Linked DNA regions of Oreochromis niloticus. The protein of the gene in region 1 purifies or fractionates together with the protein of each later gene. This does not show direct contact. Links are inferred from orthologs where the notes say so. Each region holds a gene or a part of one and is shown on either strand. Other genes may lie near its edges.

The links.
Region 2: the proteins of clcn4 (region 1) and tmem9 purify together in Homo sapiens (co-immunoprecipitation; 3 studies listed by BioGRID and IntAct, with this or other methods). This does not show direct contact. The link is inferred for Oreochromis niloticus from reciprocal best matches to the Homo sapiens genes CLCN4 and TMEM9.

What each region holds. Positions count from the first base shown.
Region 1 is NC_031986.2:24,150,730-24,162,664, forward strand, and holds the start of clcn4 (H(+)/Cl(-) exchange transporter 4), read right to left. Parts: upstream 6,232-11,935; 5' UTR 6,053-6,231; coding exon 6,037-6,052; intron 5,531-6,036; coding exon 5,376-5,530; intron 5,269-5,375; coding exon 5,169-5,268; intron 4,936-5,168; coding exon 4,748-4,935; intron 4,667-4,747; coding exon 4,544-4,666; intron 4,271-4,543; coding exon 4,064-4,270; intron 3,937-4,063; coding exon 3,856-3,936; intron 3,777-3,855; coding exon 3,231-3,776; intron 3,148-3,230; coding exon 2,961-3,147; intron 2,759-2,960; coding exon 2,360-2,758; intron 2,272-2,359; coding exon 2,055-2,271; intron 360-2,054; coding exon 269-359; 3' UTR 1-268. UniProt on the Homo sapiens protein: Strongly outwardly rectifying, electrogenic H(+)/Cl(-)exchanger which mediates the exchange of chloride ions against protons.
Region 2 is NC_031984.2:20,020,323-20,032,802, forward strand, and holds tmem9 (proton-transporting V-type ATPase complex assembly regulator TMEM9), read left to right. Parts: upstream 1-7,468; 5' UTR 7,469-7,629; intron 7,630-7,721; 5' UTR 7,722-7,774; coding exon 7,775-7,867; intron 7,868-8,965; coding exon 8,966-9,057; intron 9,058-9,192; coding exon 9,193-9,301; intron 9,302-9,525; coding exon 9,526-9,657; intron 9,658-9,761; coding exon 9,762-9,905; 3' UTR 9,906-11,168; downstream 11,169-12,480. Other genes in the region: cacna1sb (calcium channel, voltage-dependent, L type, alpha 1S subunit, b), read left to right, coding at 12,347-12,480. UniProt on the Homo sapiens protein: Transmembrane protein that binds to and facilitates the assembly of lysosomal proton-transporting V-type ATPase (v-ATPase), resulting in enhanced lysosomal acidification and trafficking.

The DNA.
Region 1 (11,935 bases):
TGCGATTCACTCCACACACACACACACACACACTGCCCTGAAGTCGCAGTTTCCCTTCATCCGAATCTCTAAACTGAACGAGCAGCAGCAAATGAACGACGTTAAGGTAGATTCACTACGTTTTAAAGCCTTCCTGCCACTGCAGGGGGGGCGGGGTTTGGATATCGAGGGAGGTGGGAGGGGCTTTTCACAGGTAGCAGAGCAGCATGGCGTCATCTTTCCAGTTTGACATATTTACACCATCAGGGCAGTAAACCCGCCTCTCACGCTAGTTGAACATGATGGACTCTGGATCCTGGTTCATCATCTGGGCCATGTGACGCAAAACGTCCTTCTTGGTGATGATGCCCAGGAGACGCCTGCATGGGAGGGATGCAAACAAAGGTCAGAGGTTGCTGCCCATGTGATGAGCAAAGGAAGAATGTGCAGATTAGAGGAGACAAACTGAAACTGCAACCAGATCAGCTTTACAGCCACTCTGATCACACAGATCAATCAACTACAGGAGAAAGTTGAGTCTAAGACCCAGCCTCCTGGCAGAAACAGCGAAGCATGGACACTGCAGGCTGGATCACAAAGTGTCCTGACCTCTAAACACCAGCTGGCCTCTCATATAAGTGAGTAAACATTGAATATGTTTGGGTTTATTTAAATCTTGGTTACAGGAGACCTATTTTCATTTTTATTTCTTTTAAATAAGTAACAGAGGTAATAAAGATGTAATAAAGATTAAAGAAGTCATAAATTAATTGGTTTTAGGAGTTTTAACAATTATTTATGTCACTTTGTTTCATAACTATTAAGACAAATGATCTCATTGAATCACTAGAGGGAGCCGTTTGACCTTAAAATAACCTAATGAAAAAGCTGCTGATCTCTTTGATCTGTAAAGCTAAGCCGGCTGCTGCAGAAATACGACCATAAAAACTTCAGCCCAGCTTCACCTTCCTCATCTTTTTTTTTTTTTAAGTGCATTTTTAGAAAAAGACTGGCACATAGAAGAGAAAACACTGTACTGAACACCCGATCTCTATTATTCTAGATAAAGCCCTGAAATACTGGCTGCTCTTACCAACAGAGCAGCCAATGACATCAGAGGTGAGAAGGAAACATGAAGCTGCTGCTTCTCTGTTTCCTGCAGACTGGAGAGAATCCTTCTCTAACATTTTAAAAGAATGATACAGATCAGCTTCTGAGCTACAAACGGTTTCAGGCTTTTTACTGATGAACGTCACTGCTAAAGTCAAGGTATTCACAGTATTTTTGGTGGCAGGACAACTGCAAATGATCCAGTTTGTCACCAACAAAGTGAAACTAAGTTTTCAGCACTTTGTAGGTGCTTCCTGAATGAAATCTGACCCTGTTTCTTTGAGAAGTTTCAACCCTCTAGCAGATCATTACATGAAGGAACCTTTTAAATACAAGTGCGCTCATGCTCACAGGTGTACACACGGGTGCTCACACACACAAACTACACCCTTTTTGGCTGCTACCTCAAAGCACACTGTGTGCTGTCGATCCTACGTGCTGCACAATAATATTCAATATTTAGTATTTACTGTTATACTCACATAGATCATCGCGATTATGTTGTTTATTATATTGCTCTCTTTTTTTGCTTGTTTTCTTTCTCAACAGGTGATCCAGGTGAGTGATATAAGTATTTTTTGTCTGTTTGTTTTTGTTTTTTTGCCCTTAATCACTGTTCCTCTTCCCCGCTGTTTTTCTTTCCCTACCTCTCTTTCTTTCTCTCTTTTCTTTCCCCCAGTCATGTCTGTCCCATATGTAGCAAATGAAAATAAAATAAAATAAACAATAAAAGCAAAGGTGAATCAAATGAACCAATACGGCAAGGCCGGGATGGTCCATTTGGTAAAGTAAATCCGTTGGGCATCTTTCTTTGCCTTTAGACAATAATTCTGATGGCAAAAGAACCAAACGGGACAGGCAAAAAAAAAAAAAGAAGAGAATTTTCAACCGTTTCCATATTTCAGGCTGTAGTGGAACGGAGGACGAATGGCAGTAACAGCAGATGGCATTGGGCGTGCTCTTACCCGCTCCTGGTGACCAGACACTGGCGCAGACCAAGCTTGCGGAAGATGTCCACCACGGTCTCCATGGGCGTGTGATCGGTGACGGTGAATGGGCTGAGGTTGAGGATGCGTCGCAGCTTAAGCGGCTGCGGGTTGCTCGCCGGCAGTTGCGGTGCGTCCTCGGTGAAGTAGACCACTGAGCTGCTCACCACGCCGTCCTGCTTCTGACGGGCGTTCTCTGTGGATGGAGCGAGAGGGGGGAGGAGTCAGTGGAAACATTTCGATCAGATTCACTAAAGACTAACGTGCATTTGCGGTTGACTTACTGATGGCGAGCGTGAGGTCTCTGCGCTGGACGAAGCCGATGAGCCTCTCTGACTCCCTGGACACGACCACGGGGAAACCGTTGTAGTCCGTGTCTTTGATCAGCGTCTCCACATCCTCTACCGTCGTGGAGTCCTGCGTGAGGACAGCCAGCGGCGGGTCGTTCCTGCGGGGACGCATCACGTCGGTGGCGAGCGTGCGGTGGGTGAACTCGTCCCGCACGTCCAGGTACGGGTAGCCGTTTAGCAGGATGTGTGACTCGTAGATGCCCTCCTTACCGAATGCATCTGCCACCCACTTGCTGGTGACGGCGGCGGCCATCAGGGGGACGATGTACTCCAAGCCGCCGGTGAGCTCAAACATGATGACCACCAGCGAGACGGTCATCCTCGTCACACCGCCTGAAGCAACACAAACACAGGAGGAGACTTAATTCAACCATTCACAGTGTGAGAAGTTTCTGCTGTTTACCAGAGGCAGCCAATCAGAACAAAGCTTGGGTTAAAGGGGGAGGAGCTAAAACAGCTTGTTTCAGGCAGGCCTGACACGAGGCCTCATCATGTCTACATCTTAAAGCTTCTAATGGGTGAACGGTGCACTCACCCAGGCAGGCGGCGGCTCCCACCATGGCATACAGTCCCGGCGTGACGCAGTCGGCGCCGGGCCGGCACCAGTTCTTGAAAATGATCCAGTCGTGGTGATGGTAGGCCATCTGCTCCACGGCGATCCCGACGATCCGCCCGGCGATGGCCCCGACCGCCATGCTGGGGATGAAGAGACCCGAGGGGATCTGAGGAGGAAAGAGATCAGCTCAGGGAAACAGAAACAGGAAACAAACACCGACTTCCAGCCCATCGTCTTCCTCGCACTGACCTTCATGCCGAAGGTGAAGATGGTGATAACGATCTTGAAGATGAGTGCGAGGGTGAGCTGCCACAGGGCGTTGTAGACACCAGGTCCCGCCGGGCGGTCCGGGATGTCGTCCACCGGCCGGCTCATGTTGGGGTTGTTGACGTAATCGCAGAGCTGCGATGACTCGAGCGCGCCGCAGTCGTTGAAGAGCTCTGAGATAAGCTCGCTGGTGCTGCGGCGGGTGTATGGGTTGGGGTAAGCCAGAAGGGCAGTGATCCCCGTTACTGCGATCACCTCCAAGACCGGGTACTTCCCCAGCTGTGTGGTCTTCCTCCGCCGGCACCAGGCGATGTTGGCTCGGATGAAAAGGGTCCCCCAGAGGCCGCCGAAGACGCCAAGCAGGATAAAGGGCACCAGCTCGGCCATGTACCACGGCGTGTGGTACTCCACATAGAAGAGCACCAGGCGGCTGTTTCCAAATGGGTTGATAGAGCGCAGCGTGAAGGCCGCGACCAGTGCGGCGAAGAAGGAGCGCCACAGAGTCTTCAGAGGGAAGTAGTAGCTGACCTGCAGGAGGAAGCACAGGACATCGTTAGGAGAGAGGAGGAGGAGCTACAGATACTCTGTGTCCGGTCTGATAGCCGACCTCTTCCAGGCTGAACAGGACTCCTCCAATGGGCGCACCGAACGCCACCGACACTCCAGCTGCCGCCGCTGCCGACAGCACCTGCAGGAGGCAGACACACATACATCTACGTGACTTTTTCTTCATCGAGGGAAGAGCGTGAACACTGTGAGGAAATCTTACTGCCCTTAAAAGGTCAAAGGTCAGGAGTGTTTTTCCCGCAGCATACCTCTCGCCTCTTGCCCTCATTCTTGCTGTACTTGGAGAAAAGGCTGCAGAAGAGGTTTCCGCAGCAACACGCCACATGGACCAGAGGACCCTCCTTCCCCAGGCTGAGGCCCGACGACACGGCCAGCACCAGCGTGACTGTCTTGATCAGCAGGGTCCACTTCCCCAGGTAGCCCCGGATAATGAAGCCGCTGAGGATCGTCTTGATCTGCACAAAACATGTAAACAGACGGAGACATGTGAGAGCGAACGCATGGCTGACAGCGCAATCAGACTCCATTTAAAAAGTCCAGCAGGAAAACTGTTAAAAACCATCTAACTGTGGTGTCCACTGATGTCATGGCTTCAGTTCCTGTCTCTGCATGGGGGCGTGGCCTAATGCCACCTACTGCAAGTAACACAGCTCATTAGAAGCCTGCTCAAATGAACTGAGGCAACTCCAACTGATTTAATTTGTTTATCCAGTGAAAAAGTTTGTTACCTCCGGGATTCCCGACCCGCAGGCGTACGGAGCGAACACTCGCACCAACGACACCGCCAGGAAGGAGAAGAGCAGAGCCCATAGGATGTACAGGAAGTAGTTCAGCACGTACGCTCCGGCTCCCTGAGAGAACACAGAGTTAGCTCATCACTCTGTCCACTCATTGAAGAAACACACACAACCAGTAAAAGCGGGCAACTCAACCTCGGCGTGGCCTGTCATCAGCTCCGCCCACTTCTGCCACTGTGGGCACTTGTCCCGGTCGTCAAACGTGGTCTCGTTGGAGGTCCAGCAGCACTGCTCATGGCTGTACCAGAACGCCGAGAGGCACACACCCTCCTTCAGATCCGTCATCCAGTCCACGGCAAGGTCGATCACACCGGCCAGCGTCCCTGTGGAGGAGAAGGGGAGGAGTCATTCCACCTCAGAGACACCTTCATCACTCTCAGACTGCTCCTGTTTCTCTTCCGGTGTCGCTTGGACCGCCAGAGAGACGTCTGCAGCTTCAACAACAGAGTAAGAAACAGAAATAAAGGTGAAAAGGAAGCTAGATAGATGAAGCCTTGGAACTTTAAACCCAGCAGCATTAAGGGGAGGAGGAGATCAGAGACACGGCGAGCCTGACCTGAGAGGAGGCCGATGAGCAGCATCACCACCCATCCCGACCAGGCGTCCAGCAGGCTCTTAATCAGCTCCCAGAGGGACTCTTTGCTCTTGCTGGTGATCTGCAGAAACACAGGATCAACTTACATGTTTGCTGTGTGGATTTCAAATAAAAGCTCACACATCACACCTCACAATGAGGAGGGAGAGGAATAGATGGAGCACACACCTTACGGTGGCGGTCCGTGTCCCTGGATTTCTCTCTCAGCCAGTCAATGGTGTGGAAGTCCTCGTACGTGCTCACATCGGGGAAAGGCTCATCCAGGAAGTCCATCAGGTTCCCGGCACCGTTCATCTCCTCTGTGGGCGTGGCGGCGCTCACACCTGGAAGAAAGTGAGGACGTCATCAGTGTTAATTTGATTTGTAAACACTCACTGTTTATTTAACGTTAATGTCCATGCTCATCAGTTTAATGAGATATCACCTGCTCAACACATTCATATAAATAAGAATAAAAGCTTAAATTAAAGATCCACGTGTTTTTAATAATATGCATTTCTGTTTATCCTGATGAGGAGGAGCCGGGTGCTGTCAGCCTTTACTGAATTCAAAGATCCCAATGAGTTAAAAGGAGGAGGGGAAACATTTCACCTGCCTCATATCACAGGATGAGGGCAGATCTCCTCACATTTACCTGCCGAACAACAACAACAACTATCTCCTCTGACATGAATGCAATCACCACCGAGAGTCTCCACTGTGTTTGTCAGACTTCACACCTGAAATGATCCAGCAGCACAAACAGCACCGCGGAGCCTTTATTTACGTTAGCTCCTGAGGCTAACCAGGCTAACTCAGCATCATTTCACTGGCTGTTGTTGTTGTTTACCTTCGGCGGCCTCCATGTTGCTCCGTGCTGACCGCTGCGGGTCTAAAATAAAATCTCTTCAATTATTAACTGATACGTTGTCAAATAAAAATGACATTTTAGTCAAATTCGGCGAGAGAAAAATAAATAAAAGCCGACAGGAACGTCGCAGAAGGCTCCGTGCAACCTGTCAGTATCGCGATACTTCGGGATCTCTCTTTGCTTGGACCCACCTCAAATCTCGTCGTGTTTCAGGTGTTTGGAGTCTTTTCTGCCCTCTGATGGCCACGCGTGGGAATTACAAGAAAGATTAAAGTTTGAAAAATTACAAACCAGTCAAAGTCAAATGTATTTATGTAGCACATTTAAAACAACAACCGTTGACCAAAGTGGTGTACAATTAAGATAATTAAGAGAAATAAAAACATAGGGAGACATGATAAGAGTTGAGAAAAAGAATCATAAAATTAGAAGATTTGAGTAAAAAATAAGATAAATAAAAGTAATACAAGCTCATTCTGATTTAAAAGCCAAGGAATAAAACTGGGTTTTCAGACGGGTTTTAAAAGTGTCCAATGTTGGGCAGGTCCTGATGTGAAGGGGCAGTTTGTTCCACAGTTTAGAAGCAGTTACAGCAAAGGCCCGATCTCCTCTGTGCTTTAATCTGGACCTCGGGACAGCCAGGAGCAATTGTTCCGCAGACCTCAGTGATCTTGCAGGAGTGTACCAATTTAAAAGATTAGAAATGTATGAGGGTGCTAACCTGTTCAATGCCTTAAAAACAAATAATAAAATCTTAAAATTAATCATAAAACTAACTGGCAGCCAGTGTAATGACGCCAGTATGGGAGATATGTGTTCTCGCTTGTGTGTGCCAGTTAGTAACCGTGCTGCAGCATTTTGGACCAGCTATAGACATTTAGCTGATGACAAACTAACACCAGAGTAAAGGTTATTACAGTATGTCTGTGAAGGTTCTCAGTCATCCAGGTCATTGTAGTCTAAGGAGCTTGGAAAGAAAAGCGTCTTCAGTTCGAGAGGTGAAACATCTTCAAGCAGCTTAAAGAAGTCCAGACGCTTTTCTTTCCAAGCTCCTTAGACAACTATTACAGTAGTCGAGGCGAGATAAAATGAAATCATGCATAGCTCTCTCAAAGTCTCTAAAACAGAGAAATGGCTTCACTTTAGCAAGTAGTCGAAGATGCAAGAAACTGGACTTGAATACAGCATTAATTTGTTTATCAAACATTAGATTAGAGTAAAAAACTCACACTCTCATAACACATACATAGGACCTTTGGGGTGGGTACGCTACACGGCATCCAGATGACCATCAGGGTGTACAACCCCACCCCTGGCGCCGTTGCCCACCTCTCAATTTTAAATACACGTATACATTGAGGGCTATCAGGAGGGGCTATGCGCTTACATGCTGCTCTCTGGCAGGTAGCTCCATGCCCTCCTGGGTTTTAAATGCACCTTAGAACACACATGCATCAACACTACATATGAGCGGGCAGAGGGAGGTTTGGAGTCTTCACACACCCACATTGTCTGTTGCCTGTTGGGGCGGGGGAGTTGAGAGGAGGAGTTGGCCGTCCGAATGGGATCTGGAATGTGGGGCCTCCCTGCTGCTGTGGAGTCAGGGGGGGTCTGCTTCTCTCCACCCCAGGGAAGAGGGTAACACTACCTGGGTCTGGGTGCAGTTTCCCTTTCCAGGGGCAAGGGTACCTAGACCTGGGGTATAGAGTACGCGTGGGGAGTGTGACTGTGTGTACAGTGTCTATTTATGCCTGTCTCCACGTTGGTTGAGTGCTGAGTAATTGCATATGAGAGCACGAGGGTGGGAATGGATGTTTGTATCTGTGTGTGCCTGTTTGTTTGTGTCTATATGTCATATCTCTATGTCTATGTCTATATCTCCTCCCACCACTCCCCCTACCAGTGGCAGATGCCCTCAGACATCGGTGCATTGGTGGTTCTTTGTGTCCGGGGATGGGCGTCCAGGTGCGCTGCTCACTCCTGGTGGCTGCTTGTCGGGGCCTGGAGCCTGGGGCTCGCTCTGGCCCCTTCGGGGGTGGGGTGTCCTCGGCCTCTGGGCCTGGGGCTTGGTCACTCTGGCACAGCTGGCTGCCGGCGGAGCTCACGGGCACGTGACTGCAACCCCCCCTGGCTTCTACTCCGCGGCTGCTGAGCGACCCCTCATCTGGGGCTCTCCTCAGCTCTTTCCGGGAGAGTGGCACGGCTGACCCTCTGTTGGTCTTCCTTGGTCTCTTGCTCTCTGAGGGCCTCTGGATTTTGGGAGCCTGGAAATTTACAATAACAAGGCTCGAATAAAAGAACACAGGATGGGGGGGGGGGAGTTACACTGATGTGGACTGTGGCTTTAAGTCAAGTCAAGTGGCTTTATTGTCATTTCAACCATGTGCAGTGGTACATTACACAGCAAAACGAGACAGCGTTCCTCCAAGACCATGCTGCTACGTATAACAGACAATGAGCACAGAACAGCATAAAGTGCAGATCTGCAAAAATTGCCAAAAAGCAAAACAAGAACAGTGCAACACCAGAAGGTAGTGACGTGCATGAAAGTGTGTGTGTGTGTGTGTGTGTGTGTGTGTGTGTGTGTGTGTGTGTGTGTGTGTGTGTGTGTGTGTGTGTGTGTGTGTGTGTGTCAGTCCAGTCACTGAGTGTTCAGGAGTCTGATGGCTTGGGGGAAGAAACTTTTTGCAGTTTGGCAGTAAGGGCCCGAATGCTCTGGTACCTCATGCCAGAAAGCAGCAGGGTGAAGAGTGTGTGAATGTAGGCGAGTGGCACAAGTGGGGGGAGTTTTCTCAGTGAGTGTCTGGCCGAAGGGAAGATGGCAAAATCCAACCTGAGTTCCAGTTTGTTAGATGAGCCAGTGGGCAGGAGGACCGCAGACAAGGATGGTGAGTAGTTGCTAAAATCCTGAGAAGCATGATGCTAGTCTTGTGAGAAACTTCGGGTAGAGAGCAGTGTCCAAAGGAGGTAAGTAGTTGACCGTAAAGTGGAGTCATGGTGTGGTTGCTTGGAGTAAGAGGAGATCAAGGTAAGTAGACATCGAGAAGTAAAGGACAAGGAATTACTATGAGGCTGGTTTCTTACCACCATAGGGTAGCTGATGCTGATCTTAAATACTCCTGATGCTGATTGCTGGCAGTGAGGAACAGGTGAATGAGACAGGTGTAAAATCTGGGCTCCATCCAAAAGGGGTGAATGCTGCAGGACCACGCCAGAGTGGAAAACCACGGGGCACTCAATCAGATTATAACAAAGTTATTTGAATGTGTCACCGGGACTGAAAGAAGATGCAAACTGTCACATTTAGATAACTGGAAATTGGCTAGGATGGTCAGGAACAACCCAGGAACCACCAGCACTTAAGCCTGCCATGAACCGGAAACTGCTGGAACACCAATGTCACTGTCCATCACCACTGTCTGAAAGGGTTCCAACCAAGAAAGAGTCCCCGCTCCAAAATGAACACCTTCAAGTTTGACTAAAACTTGCAGCTGCCTACATGGACAAGCCAAATGTCTTCTGGAGAATTTTTTATGGTCAGATGAGACAAACATGGAATTATTTGGACACAATGATGAGTATGTTTGGGTGAGAAAAGTCAATCAGACCTAAGAACTGTCATAAATCATGCTCTAGGGCTGATTTGCTGTGAAATTCTTTGAAAATGTATGGGTTAAGTCCATATCAGGAAATGCTTGGCATTTGCATTTCCACCAAAGAGAGTCTCTGCAAATATCTAGCCAGAATTCAAAAGCTTGCTGATCAAAAGGAAACTTGCCAAAAGAGACATTTATTAGTGGCGTGCATGTTTATATTTGAGCCTGTATGTAAACTTGACTACGTTTAGAGAAAAACCTAAATAAGTTCAAAGTTGTGCACCCAATTCTTATTTTTCTAAAGTCAGTAAAGATGCATCATGTGCAGTTTACCCCACCCTGAAAAAAAAGCAGTTACGACACCAGTTTAAAGATATTTACAACATTACAGTGAGCTTCACTTCCAATTGAATGTTTACTGGTAAACAATGTCTCTCGCCTGCTGAAAGAGGCGGGGGAAAACCTGAAGGATGAGAAATTCAGCGTCAGAATTCAGAAATGAAAGTGAGAGATACACCTGAGCAAAAATCTATTTCTCTTTAAAAGAACCTAAAACTTTGCTCATTGAGCCTTTTGCTACAACACAGCAGGGCTTCTGTCCAACACAGCTTATACAGGTGACCATGATCAGGCTGTTTTAATTGTCTAAATTTAAACTCTCCTCTTTCACAGTTTAGGAATCAAACATCAAATACAAAAACAACCCTACGCCCACTTCTCTGACAAACATGAGTTTTCTTATGTGGACAACTCTTTGGTAATCTTGAGCTGTGATTGGCTGAAAAATGATAAACTTTGTTGTTTCTTTGGTTGTTGAACCATGCGGGAACCGATACAGTGTATTGTAAATTATTAGAATTAAATAAACTAAAATAAATGTAGTAAGATGTGACACAAAACTCTAGATGGATGACATTCCACTGATCAAAGTTGGATGATAATGAAGGATGAAACTAAAAGCATGTGTAACAATAGAAATTCACTTGAGTGGAATCGGTTTCTTTTCAAAGGAACATTAAACTGAGCTCACTGATCCTTTCATATCAGCACAGCAGAGCTTCTCTCTAACACTGGTGAGTACAGAAGATCATGATTGAACTGTTTAAAAGTCCAAATGTGGATTCTCCTCCAGAGACAATGAAGTTTACAATTAAACCTCTAATCTCAGGGTCAACTGGATCCATCAGGTTTTCCTCAACAACACAGCAGAGTCTTTACAAACATTGGTAAGTGAACTCATGACACTCACTTTCACAGCAATTTGTTCATTCACGTTGTTTTAAATTTAAAAGGGACCAACATAGTTAGGTGAGAGTTTCTTTGACTTGTATTGTAAAGACACATACTTTGTGGACTTTTTGGTCAGACTTTCTGACATGGGTGGTATCTTGGTGCTGGGATCCAGTGGGGGGCCAGACATCAATTTTGCTTGGAGGGGCTTCTCATGTGGACCTCCCTAACTACCAACATGCAAGATGTTGTAGTGAGGAAACAGTAATCGCATCTTTGACAGTAGATGATTTATGGAAGTTGGTAACCCAGTAAAGACTTTAATGGGGAAAGACCAATAGTGTCATGTGAGGGCTGTGTGCAGGCAGGAGTGGTGGACCCAAAATGCAGACTCACAGCAGGCAAAAAGTGTACTTCAAAACTCAGCTTTTATTGCTGGATGGCAAACTGTAACAAAAACCCCAAAAACACAAATAAACTTACATAGGCATGCAGACAGAACACACAGCATAAATGAGAGTAGATCACGACACCAACAAACTGAAACACAGGGCTTAAATACACAGAGGGAGCAATCAGGGAATGGGCAACAGGAGGGAAACACAGCTGGGGCAATTTAGGCCTAACGAGACAAAGGAAGCACATCCAGACACATTTACATGAGACACGGACTTTCAAAGTAAAACAGGAAACATAACACAGACTGAACTTACAGACACAGACTCACAGGCAGGCACTACAACAGAGGGAACAGAGACGTGGGACCAGGGCAGACACAGACACTGACTGGACACGGGGATATAGCAGACAGGGGAGACAGCAACTAAGGATTACACAGAGACATAAGACAGAACTCTAACAAAGAAACCAAAGACTAGAAATGATAAATAATATAATAAACTCAAAACCCTGAGTCAACGACCCAGGTATCCTAACAAATAGAGAGAGCAGTGGAAGTCATGGAGTTATGTGTGTGTTTGATCAGGACAGTTTGAAGCTCAGGAGGACTGGTTAAAGGAGGCAAAACACCAAAGGGCAGCTTACACCGCTTG
Region 2 (12,480 bases), on another chromosome or scaffold:
TCTTAAAATGGTACGTTTTCTCAGTTGAAACATTTGATATGTTTTCTATGCGTTTGTGAGATTTGTGAATCCTTGCATTCTGTTTTTATTTATATTTTTCAGAGCTTCTCCACATTTTCAGATCTGCGTTTGTAACTTAATTGCACACATTTTAGGTTGAGACTCCAGGTGTCCGTTTGGCTTTTAATAGCTAGATCGAGCTCCAAACCTAGATCACGCAGATCGAACATTGGATTTGTACATTATGAAGAAACACATTACATTACTTTCCTATTTTTGAAATATTTAATTGATTTCTGTCATTTCCTACACTGATCCTACGCCATCCTACATGGGTTTTATTTTTGTATGTAGTAAGGCACTGAAAAGTTACACTAAAACACCGTTCATGTATTTACGTCACTTTAGATTATAGCTGCAGACCTTGCTGTCAAAGGCTTCACGATATCATAAAATGTTTCTTCTACAACAGTGAGTTGTGTGGGTCACTGAGAGAAGCATTTATGTAAATACATGTTGTTGTTAATGTCATAATAAACCTCAAACTCCAATATGCATCCACTGTACTGGTGTGAAAGCAGAAATCTAAAAAATCAGTCTATACTAATAAAATTTGGGGCAAATTAAAGAGAACTATGTGCAGACACTTAACATAAATAGCTTTAAATGTGAATTACTCAGCTCACGTCTCATTTTTCCTTACTGTCACCTTCCTCTATCTTACCTTATTCCTTTACTCCCCTTGCTCTGCTCCTGCCGCCGTCTCTGAACCAGTCATCCAGAGCTTGCTCCATGTGTGTTGAAGATTAGTGGTAGAGTGTGGGGCTCTATTGATTTCTGAAGCTGTGAGATGACAAGTTTGATCTTATATCACAGGGTTTACGTCTGATTTGTTCCGGGCAGAAAGCACCAAACAAATATAGTTAAGTGTTACTCAACCATACCGCCTGTAGAGATTAGAAAATTATTTTGCTGTTACTATTCATGTTGCATTAGTTATCATTTCATCGACACATTTTTTGAAGCTGTTGAGGTTAAAGTCTGTATTTCAAGTCTGTATTTCAGGTGGTAGCTTAATCACATGATAATCTTTCATTGCAGGTGCAACTGTATTCATGTTATACACATTGCATTTTTGTGCTAATTAAAGAGTTGAAGCTCGGTCAATTAATTGATGGTCGGAAGCTTCAGCGGCGCGAGGTCCGACTGATCTATTGAGTAAAGTGACCTTGAGTTATGAAAGAATTGCATACATGCTTACAATACATCACGCACAACTTAGAAACTGAATAGAGGCCTGTGTGTTCAGCAACCGACTGCATTGGAGTTCTGCCTGGTAACAGATGACTCAGAGTAAGGTCATGCACCGAGGTTAAGACACATGGGCTGTCTGAACACACATACACAGTGTCTAGACTTGTTTTGCTTGAAATTGCGAAGTTTCAAGCAAAGAAACTGCATACGTGACAGTTCAGTTCCCCAAATAAGTGTAATAGGTAAAATAACAGGAAACATGTAGTGGAGGAACAGAGGAAGGAACTGTTCTTTTTTTAGAAGATGTTCAAGGTTGGAATGACTGGAACATGTATGTTTTTTATCTGCTGTGACGCATATTACTTGTCATCATATGTTATATATATCACACCCCATTTATTGTTGTGAGAAGACCGATGCTTTTTGGGTGATCGTGCTCGGCTTCCCACATGTATGTGTTGTAATAAAATCATTGTTTTGACACACTGGGACTTTGCAGTCGTCTGTCTCTTCCTCAAATACGAACCATGACACGCCTGTAAAGACATTTTTACTTTATATCGTTTATGTCTGGAGAATAGTTTTGTTTGTGTATGTGAACGTGTCAGTGGCAGTCCGTCGTGGCGCACCACTGAGCTGCCAGGTCAGATTGCAACAAATGCCGAAACAAAGGAAGATGACTCACAGTGACATTTGGCGAAGGAGGCCCCTGTGGATGAAATCCATCGTGCCTCCAGATGTGGCCTGCAGCTGGGGCAGGTAGATCACAGACTGACATGAGGAGATGGAGTAAGGGTGTGGCAATGTCTGTATCACCTCATTAGGGAAAACTTATCACACAGAAACCTCTGTCCCTACCTTTTGGAAGGAGTGGAGTCTCCTTCCAAAGGATTAGAGCTGACAAAATTTTCTGATCATGGAATCGCTTTGTCGGGGAAAAAAAGGCTCTTGGTGACTTTTGGCTGTTTACCTTCCTCCTTCTGTTTTGAGAGCGCTGACTCTGAAAGAAGATCCACATCGATATCTATATCGGTGCTTTTTGCTGACTGACATGTGTGTGTTGTGTTTTGCTCGCTGACTTGATCGGCCAGGTGCCTAACATTTTTTATCTGTAAGGATTCTATGCATCGCTGGCTCTATAAATCAGTCTGGGGGGCCTTGTCACTTAAAGTAGACATTAATAGCTGACAGTTTATTGACCGGCCTGCCTGTATTTGTTAAACCAGCAGGCTGTTTTTTCCAACCTAAATTGCATCCTTATATACCAACAACAAACTTCCTTCCTCCCCTGCAGCTATTTATCTACCTTTCAATCCATGTCACCTTTCATTTCTTGCTATTGTTTTCAGCTGTCTTCTTGCCTGACCCCTGGTCTCCCTTGAAAGATGCGTGTGGATTTCTGGCAGCTTGCTGTTTTATTTATCTTTTTTGACCAATTCTGCAATTGGCCTATGAAGCTCTCTTTGAAGTTTCCCTGCGTCTCTCTAACATCTTGTGCAACATCAAAGACAACACATTACACGGGGGCAGAGTTCACCCGAGAGCCACTGCAATTCAAGCATCATCGCCATGTTTCTCTTTTCTCCTCCTGCAGGGGTGCAACACTGCTAAAGGAGAGGAATAGCGAGTGGTGGGCGGGTGAGTGCGGGGACGGCTTCCCTTCCTCCGTTTGTGTCCATCATGTGTCATGGCCGCTCTTGGCTTTCATGTTCTGTCTGGCTGAGTTTCCTGCTCCAGCAGTCTCTGTTTCCTTGCTGAAAATCGGTGTCCCTCAGAGGCAGGAGACACTCCCTCCTCTGCATCCATTTCAGCTCAGCTCAGCGTAGCCGGGCTCGGCTCTCACCTTGCTGACACCAGCTCCTCAGCAGACACCTTTCCCCCTGCATGGGCTCAGCTGGCTGACAGGCAGCTGTCCGTACAGATAAAGCAGAGCAGGACACACACTGTACTCTGAGTCACCATCACTGCTTACTGCTCTAACACCTTTGCTATTGCCACCTCTTTTGGTTACAACATTTCTCGAGCAAGCATCTCACACTACCTCCATCACTGAAACTGATAACAGGTGATCTTTATCTTCTATCTCTGTTTGAAGATCACACAGAGCTTTTTTTATTTTAAAAAAACATCTTGTAATTTATTAATTCTTTGATATTTTTTCCTGTAACTTCAACAGGATCAAACTAAACACAAAAAATGACAAGTTTATTCCACATGTGGTTAATATTTAGACCTAATGCAGGGGGCTTTGAGTGAAACACCTAAGAAGTAGTCGTTGTTTGATTACCATGGGAAAGAAAAATTCAATTCCAGGGGCCCAAAACAAGCCAGTGGCTGATGAAGACAAATGTGCAAACACATGTTGGCAGAATTGCTTTTTGGTTGACTGTGATCGGCTACGCTCAGGAGGGCGGAACCAGGAGTTGTGATTTATAGTTTTGCGCTGTCCCTGGATCACCACTGTCTGCTACCTCCCACTACTGTAATTACCACGTGTGTCCATTAGAATAGTCCTACTGCCCACAATGCACCACCTCAGCGGAGAGGAGAGGAGAGATATCGCTTCAGAGATAGTCTTGTTATTCAAACAGTGTTCTCTCCAAAAGCATGATACAGAGGAGGGCAAAAAGACACTGCAGATGATGTGATAAAGGTCAAAAAGAAACATACTGAAAGGTTGAGGGGTGTATTGAAAATGCTAGATTAAGGACAAAAACCTGTAGCATCCTATAGGTGAGTCATATAAGGTAGGTATTTATCTACAGTGCTGCTGTAGCTGTTTAGCTAATAATTAATTGGTTTTATGTGGCTCTATCTTTGAATTTCACAATATATTTTCTCTTGTTTTATTTTATATGCCCTAGATCATATCTACATCTCTCCAGATCTTTACAAAGTCTGCTTTGACTAGCGTCTGCTGGTCGAGATTGAGTTTGCTTTGCCTTGGGCCTTATAGCATCTCCTAGTGGGCAAAGTGCCTGATGCTTTCAGGTCCCTGGAAAATGAATGTTTTGAGTAATGTGATTCAGTCGATACTTTCAGGTACCTTGACAAGTAAGAGAACTTGACACCCTCTGATGTTGTTTATGAGTTGAATTTCTCCGCAGTGTTTCCATTATGGATCATTTCCCTTTGCTGTTTTATAGTCAGGCTGCGTTCGCAGTTCACTGGCTAAAGACTTTGTCAAAATATTTGTATCTGTCCGCATCAATTACAGCGCTTTTTTTTTTTAGTTGAGTGGTAATAAACCACTTTACATAAACAACTAGATTCATTTTTCTTTCCTAAATGAATATTTTTTTACCAAGTCTACCCAAAGAAGAACTCAATCCCCTTTCTTTTCTTAAGAAGTCTGAACTGATAATGAGACCTGGCACTAGGCTCTGGTCAGTGTCATTTATGCTGTAATTGGCCTGGGGATTAAAGGGCAGCCATGCATCAGAGAAGATGAGAACTAAGTGGCTTACAATGACAGAAGTGAGAGAATGAAATATATTATAGAGAGCTCGCACAAATCACCATCTAAAGCGTTTATGAGTCGAATTATGACGGAGATCATTACACGAATGAAGGAGTACATGCATGAGTTCATGAAGTAATCAATTGAGGAATCAATTAAAAACCAAAACACACTTAAAACATTCAGAACTAACTTGCCAAGTATATCAACAGCAAAAGGTCATTGACAACGTAAAAGACATCACCAGCATAATATTGTCTGGGTGAAAGGTTTTCTCCACATAATCTGACCAGTTCTTGTCTTTTCATAAAACTAAACCTGCTAACTGTGAATAAAAATAAAACAGCAAAAAAAAAAATTTTTTTTAAAGATAAATGCCCGTGAAGTATCACCTGTTAACTCCCACCCAAAAAAAACAGCATCATGGTTGACATATTTCAGTAAAAGAGTAGAAATCTTTTTTAATGTATTGTTTTCTAAAGGAAGAAATGGTGCCCGGTCATAGATTTTAAAATAAGTAATTTGTACAGCATGAAAAATGAGTAAAAATATGGATTTCCGGGATTTCTTCCGTGATCTGTGTATGTGTTTCACATGATTAAGTCTCCCATCACTCACATTTTTTAGGCGTACAAATAGCTCAACAACAACAACCTTGTAGGCAGACATAAACTGACTGAGTTCACATCCTTTGTGAAGCTGAAATCCCAGCACTCCAAATCTCCATACTATATATAGAATAAACAAGTTCTTGGCAGCATTGCAGCTGATTTAAGTGGTTGAATCACAGGTCACATGAACGACAGTGTTTACACACAGACGGTGCTCTGTTGTTCACGCTGATATCGTAGCTTATTAGAGAAACAACCACGGTCTCGATTGATCTATATGACCGAAAGCTCAAGAGGTTCAGGCAGAATTTGTGAGTCATTGATTTCTGTGGCTTATTAAAGGTATGAGTAGCTTACTATACAGAGAGATGTGAAAGCAGGATTACCAGGAAATAGGGGTATTGATTGGGTCAAGAAGCTAAGACTCATATTTCAAATTCCAAAAGGGAAACTGGATTTGACACAAGAGCAGTGTTGACCAAAACAATATAAAATATCCTTGATTATTCTGGTCATTAAAAAAACATTAATGTTACAAATAAAGGCTGCTTCATGTATATTATACATATGATTGCTATTTGGAATTATGCATTATTGATATATCTAATTTTTAGACACATTAATATTTAAGCATCATTTTAATGTTGTAGGTGGTCAAAATGTAAACATTTCATAGTTGAATTGCTTATTCTATAATCTGCAGTTCTGTAAATCTGAGCTCTGTATATGTACAGCTTCAGCTATGACACACTTTAATCACATCACTAATGTCTGATAAGACAACAGTAAAGATGGATAAGAGGCTTTGGAGTCCACAGTGCTTGTTTGCTTATAATGCTGATAAAAAAATTTAAAAAAAAATGCTGTTTAAACTGTTGAAAGCAAACCTTTGGTCCAGGCGTTGTAGTTTCACAATTCCACTCACTACTGTAAATGTCAAATATGGAAAGCAATTAGCACTGAGGACTAAAATGTGCAATAATTCACAGAAAAGTAATGGCTTGATTAAATTAATGAAAGACTGCAAGTACACTGACCGGATCCCAACAAACTGAATGTGGGGAAAATGTTGTCTATGGGATGTAAGAACAATGCTGGGATCAAAACCTCAAAAATACAGTCAATTGTGCAAGTTACTGGATTGTTATTTCATCTCTCTTGCTAGGTAAATATGATATAGAGGGAGGACTAAGTTTGTTGTTATGGTCTAATGCAATAGTCTTTATATACTCCCATATTCTCTTTCATTTCACTTTTACTTAAGCTGCTTTTCTATCTGGTAAAGTTTTGGGGGTTTCGGTGTGCATAGTTTGGCATGCATTTTTAGCCATATCTGACAATTTTAGCTATTTTCATTCATGGCACACATATACTGTGTCACTTAACACAATACTTTCCTCCACTCGGAGGGGAGCTGGAGCCTTTCCCATCTGTCATAGGGCAAGTGGCAGAGTACACCTTGTACACCTTAGTTGCCAGTGTGCAGCACATAGAGACAGAAAACCATTAATACCTGCAGGCAGGTTAGAATTACCAGTGAACCTAACTCCATGCATGTCTTCGGACTGTGGGTGGAAGCTTAAGTACCCGGACAGATCAGCACGCAAAGGCCACTCAAAAAGGCTCCAGACTGGATTCAAACCCAGGACCTTCTTGCTGTGTGGGGGCAGAGCTAACCAAACTAAAACAAAACAAAACAAACAAACAAAAAAGAACAAACAAAAAAAACCCACACAAAACCCCTCTGTTTCTCCAAAATATGCTGCATCTCCTTTTTCTTTCTGGTAGCTTCCACCATATTTAATAAAATCTGCAAAGCTTGTGACTTCTTTGGTAACTTTCTTTGATGTGTATGACATCAGACAGGCTGACCTTTTTCCTTTTTCTGACTATAATAAAAAAGTCTTCCCGTCATATGCAACTGGTAAAAGCCAGACTTTAGAAAAGCGCATGTCCTGCAGAACCAGTCAAAATGTGAGACACTGTCTAAAGATATGTGTGTTTGTATGTGGGCGGGGGTGGATAAAAATGTTGTGCAGTCCCACATAAAGAGGGACAGTAAGTGATTATAATGTAACCTGCTTGATAAATATGAATTCTTGATTATTATTTTTACTTCTTATTTTGTCCAGCAGGTGGCGCTGTCTCTGCATGTTTGGTGTCGGATTGTTTTCTTCATGTGTGACGACAGTCCGGAATAAGGAAGGACAAAATTCATTTGTCGATCTTTGCTCTAAACAAAGTGAGAGCACACTTTCAACCTGAATGCAAAGCAGAAACAGACGTTTTCCTCACTCTCACAGCGTAAGTTACCGCGTTGCTAGCTTTGTTTTTACGACATTTCGTGTCGTGGATTTCCTGCCTTGCAGTGCTAGCTAACTGCTATATTTTGACAGAGCCTTGCTGGTGATCCTTCAGTCGTCGTGCCAGGTGTTTTGCCTTTGGGGAAATGTCGTGTGGTTGGGGAAGATCCTGGATGTTTGCTGCAGCCGCAGTGGTGACCGTGTTTCTGCTGGATGTTGTCGTTTTTGCTCGAGCTAAGGTAAAAGACCTGCTGGTACACAGAGGATCTGTGTTTGTGGATTAAATCTCATCAAGTATTGCTTTGTTTATGGGAAGATGTTCAGTAAACTGTGCTCAGTTTTATTCAGTGAAATATAAAGATTGTATAGTTAAATAACGAAATGTAAAATAATAGTTCAAGGGCGATATTGCCAGCACAATTATGCAATTACATCTACTTAAAGAATACCTGTTTATGTTAGTCTTACATTAGTTTATCTAAATAATGATTATGTAAATACCCCTGAACTACTGTCAGGACACTCGTGGATTTCTTAGCCAAATTGGGGATTGTAGTCTTAAAGAACTAGAAGTAGGAATACACTGCGAGGTTGCAGACTAAGACAAACTCCAGTTCTGCAGAAGAGACTCCTTCAAAGCAGACTGAAGTATGCCAAGGTCAACCTGGAGAATGAGTGTGCATAGAAAGTGAGTCCTTTAGTCAGATGAGACAAAAGGGAAAAGGTGTACAACTCACTGGGAATCTCATTAAGGTAGAAGGTATCATAAAAGATGGATATGTGAAGTGTTTGAAAGAAAACGTCAAGCAGTCAGCAGCAAAACTGGGTCTGGGTTTTGCTTTATTTTCCAACACGATAATGACCCAAAACATACATCACTCCTGTGAAGAACTGCCTCCAAAAGACCATCGAATTTGGAGGCGTTTGAGAAATTGTCGTGGGATCACTCAGGAGGTGTGAGTGAGACTGGTTGGAAATTGCAAATGTATAGTATCGTAGGCTAATAGTTTTGGCTCTGGTAGTTTTTGGCTAATGTGAAATAATTTTGTTTCTGTGCCCAAATTAAAATTATGTAAGCATCCAAAAAGAAAAGCTGTGTTTTAAAACTTCTTGCACTGTTAAATACTCCAAAAGATAAAACTTCCATAGAGGATCTCATAATTTAGTGCTCATCTGTGTGTTTGTGCCATTTGACTTAGAATAACTGGAGTATATGTCAGAGTGTTTGTTTGTTTAACTGCTTGTGTTAATAATAGAGAGACGTCTCAAGTAGTGCTGTAGGGGAAAGATGGGCTGAATTTGGGGCCACTTTCACAAAAGTTCCTTAATTCTTGCAGAGCTTTGAGGATGTCCGCTGCAAATGCATCTGCCCGCCCTACAGAAACATTACCGGTCACATCTATAACAGAAATTTCTCCCAGAAAGATTGGTAAGAAAAATATTTTATTTAGACTTTTATGGATTTTTAAAGAAAAGGCGTTACTCTTTCACTGCGCTGCTGTTTTTAGGGGTTTTCTTTCTCTTAGCTCAGTAGAAATGACAAACGTTTTAATGTTTTTCACAGCAACTGCCTGCATGTAGTGGAGCCCATGCCTGTTCCTGGCCATGATGTGGAAGCCTACTGTCTGCTTTGTGAGTGCAAGTATGAAGAACGAAGCAGCAACACAATTAAGGTACAACTGACTTTCCTTCGGATATGACGACATATCTTCCTCAGCTTTTATTCCCAAGCAAAGCGGGTCATTGTGATTGTTTGTCATATAAGATGAGTCGTTGAAAATATTGCAAAGCCTTTCTAGTTTATTGTTTTGTTTTGGGGTTTTTTAAAAGAAAAGAATTTATAGTTTGCAAAGGTTGTATGTTGGATTCAGTGAGTTACTCTTGCTAAATATGACAGGTGACCATCATCATTTACCTGTCGGTTGTGGGCGCCCTGCTGCTCTACATGCTCTTCCTGCTACTGGTTGATCCTCTTATCCGCAAGCATGACCCATACACCCAGCCGCTGCACAATGAGGAAGACTCTGAGGTAACCATTCAAAAAAACAGCATCCAAGCACACTCCAATGTATTTATTTGATTTCTGTGGAGTTTGAAGTTCTTGATTTCAAACCATCTCTGGTTTGTGTTCAGGAGATGCGTCCGCAGCCAGAGAGCAGCAGCCAGGCCAGAGGAAACACGGTGCTGGAGCGGGTTGAGGGAGCACAGCAGCGCTGGAAAAAGCAGGTCCAGGAGCAGCGCAAAACAGTCTTTGACCGCCACAAGTTGTTAAGTTAAACCTTAAGGCTGACCTCAACACCAAGTTTAGAGTACGTAACCTTCCTGGGCCGTCTGATATTACACCAGTGGCACTATCACAAAACCTCTTTGTCATTGCTGTGCACCGCATCTGCCGAATTAATATTTAAACATCACACATCTAACACGACAATGTTTAAACTTGGTTTATTTACTAGATGTAAAAACTTGAGATGGGCAAAGCTGCAGTTTAAAGAAAACTGATGCTTGAAGCACTCCTGATGACCTAATGTCAAATCTTTTCAGCAAATTGGACATCAGTGCAGCTTTGAATGTCTTAATAAAATAATAACTTTTCCCATTTTGCACTGGCTGTCAAAAGCATTTCAGCTTATTGTGTGTTAATATTTATAATTTTTTTCCTTCAAGCATAATTTATGATGTGATCTCAGATAGAATAAGCTAAGTTAATTAGGACTACTCTGTCTATACAGTCTCAATGCTGTTGCTATTGTTTTGGCACTAATTATTTATTGGTATTTAAATCTGGATGAATTTAATGTATGATTGTTGATTTTGGACTTTGTATATTCACATTTGAGCAGCGCCCCACTCTGTGCCTTTCCTGTCTCTCTCTTTGTGTGGGAGATCGTGTTTCTCCAAACTCTACAGCTTTCTAAAAATAACAGACGGGAAGGTCAACTAAGAAATTTCACCCATTGTTAACTAGTGCTTGCATTTGTACTCATTTTATTTTTAAATTTTCTGACTGAACCCAGCAGCACATCTGTGTGTTTTTGTTTTTTTCTGCAGCACAATGTGACGAAACACTCTTTTCATGCAAAGAGAGAAAAAGAAAAGGAGGCATTTAGCAGAGCTTTAAAAGGACTCTCAGAAAAATCACAGGAGAATGCCCTAAACCACTAAAGCTGATGATAATGTGGTTTAGTGTGGCAGAATCCAGATGCTTCGTGGCTTTGAAAGGGCCTTGTGTGCATCATTATCTGTCAGTGAATTCCTGCTCGCATCCTATTACTGAAGCTCCCAGTTGGGAAATTATTAGTACAGCAAAAACAGGCACACTGGCTTGCATTACTGTACCTCATACACCGTATGAACTACTGAAGTTTATTGGTTTCTAATTGATTTGTTTTTTTGTTTTGTTTTTTGATTAGTTGATTTGTAATTATAGTTTAATATCCCTGCTGTCAATGTTTTATATGCATCTCTGGCCTAAGTGTGCTATAGAACCATATGTTTAGCTTGACGTGAAATAATAAAAGGAAATTCCTCAAAAAAAAAGGTTTTGGAATTTTTTTTTCTCCTTCAATTACTTTTCTCCTTTCAGATTTGCTGTTCCTGTTAATGGCGCTAGAGGGCGACAAAGTACACAGTAAGTGCGCGTTCTTCTTGCACTGGTCTGTGGTGCTTGAAGATTGAAGTCTTACATGTTGAGTGGTGTTCAGCTGCTGGGAAAACAGTCACCTGTGGCATGTTTAAGATCATGTTGCCAGTTTGAGAAGGTGTTTTAAAATGTGTAACTACAAACGTCCTGGTTTGGGAATTACACGTTTTAAAACAGCGCCGCTTCTACCGACTGTTTTAAGGGCTGGTGATAGTCGGTTGGTTGACTTTCATTTAAATTGTTTGGTTATGAACAACATTAACACTAAATCATTTGGTCACAGTGAATGTTACAGAGTATTGAGTCCATCATTCAGTGTTGAATATTATTCTGATGAAGTTTTGCAGTTTTCTTTTTAGCTATATCACAAACAGCAAACCCTGATTTAGCATTTACACGCACCACACAATCAATGAACGGTCTGTAAGGCACCATAATGGGCTGTATGGAAACGTGAAGATTTTATTGTTTAATCTGAGGCGCTTACAGCGGTTAGGGTGTACTTACGGATACCTATTGTTCATTATTCCTTTAAATACCAGCCTTCAGTTATTATTTAGAAATGCATAGAGCTGCATTATAGTGTTTTTTTTTTTTTAATGATTACATGTCTCTGTACTTCTTATGAATCCTAAATAAGAGGTTGACAGTAAAGTAAACCACACATATACAGACACATACACAAACAAAATCACACAAAGAGACACAGTCCCCCCCCCTCACTCTACCCTTATAATCATCCCCAAGCATGGCCTGCTGGTGGTTCATAATCTAAATTTAAACTATACCAAGGCCAACTGCTCCTCCAGTCACTCTGGGCTCCTGCTATTTTTCCTGGACGTGGTGGGCTTATTTTGTCAGAGGCCCTCAGCCAGGCAGAGAGGCCTGTGGCTCTGCCCGGGTGAGACCGACAAAGGAGCGAGGAGGAGGAGAAGGAGAAGAAAGAGGGTGCCAGGGGAGCCTGAGGAGGATCTGCTTTCACAAAGGGGAGACACACTGGACCTGAGTTTGGGATTTTACAATAAACATTAACTTTCACAGGAATTTGGAGCTTGTCTAAGGTGAAGGCATCAAGATGGCGTCGAACACAGAAGCGGCCAAGCCGATCATCATGAATGAAGAGGAGCTGAAGAGGAAGCAGAGGGAGAAGCTTAAGAAACTACAGGCCACTGGAGGAAACCCTCGACCCGCGAGATCTCTCTTCCTGTT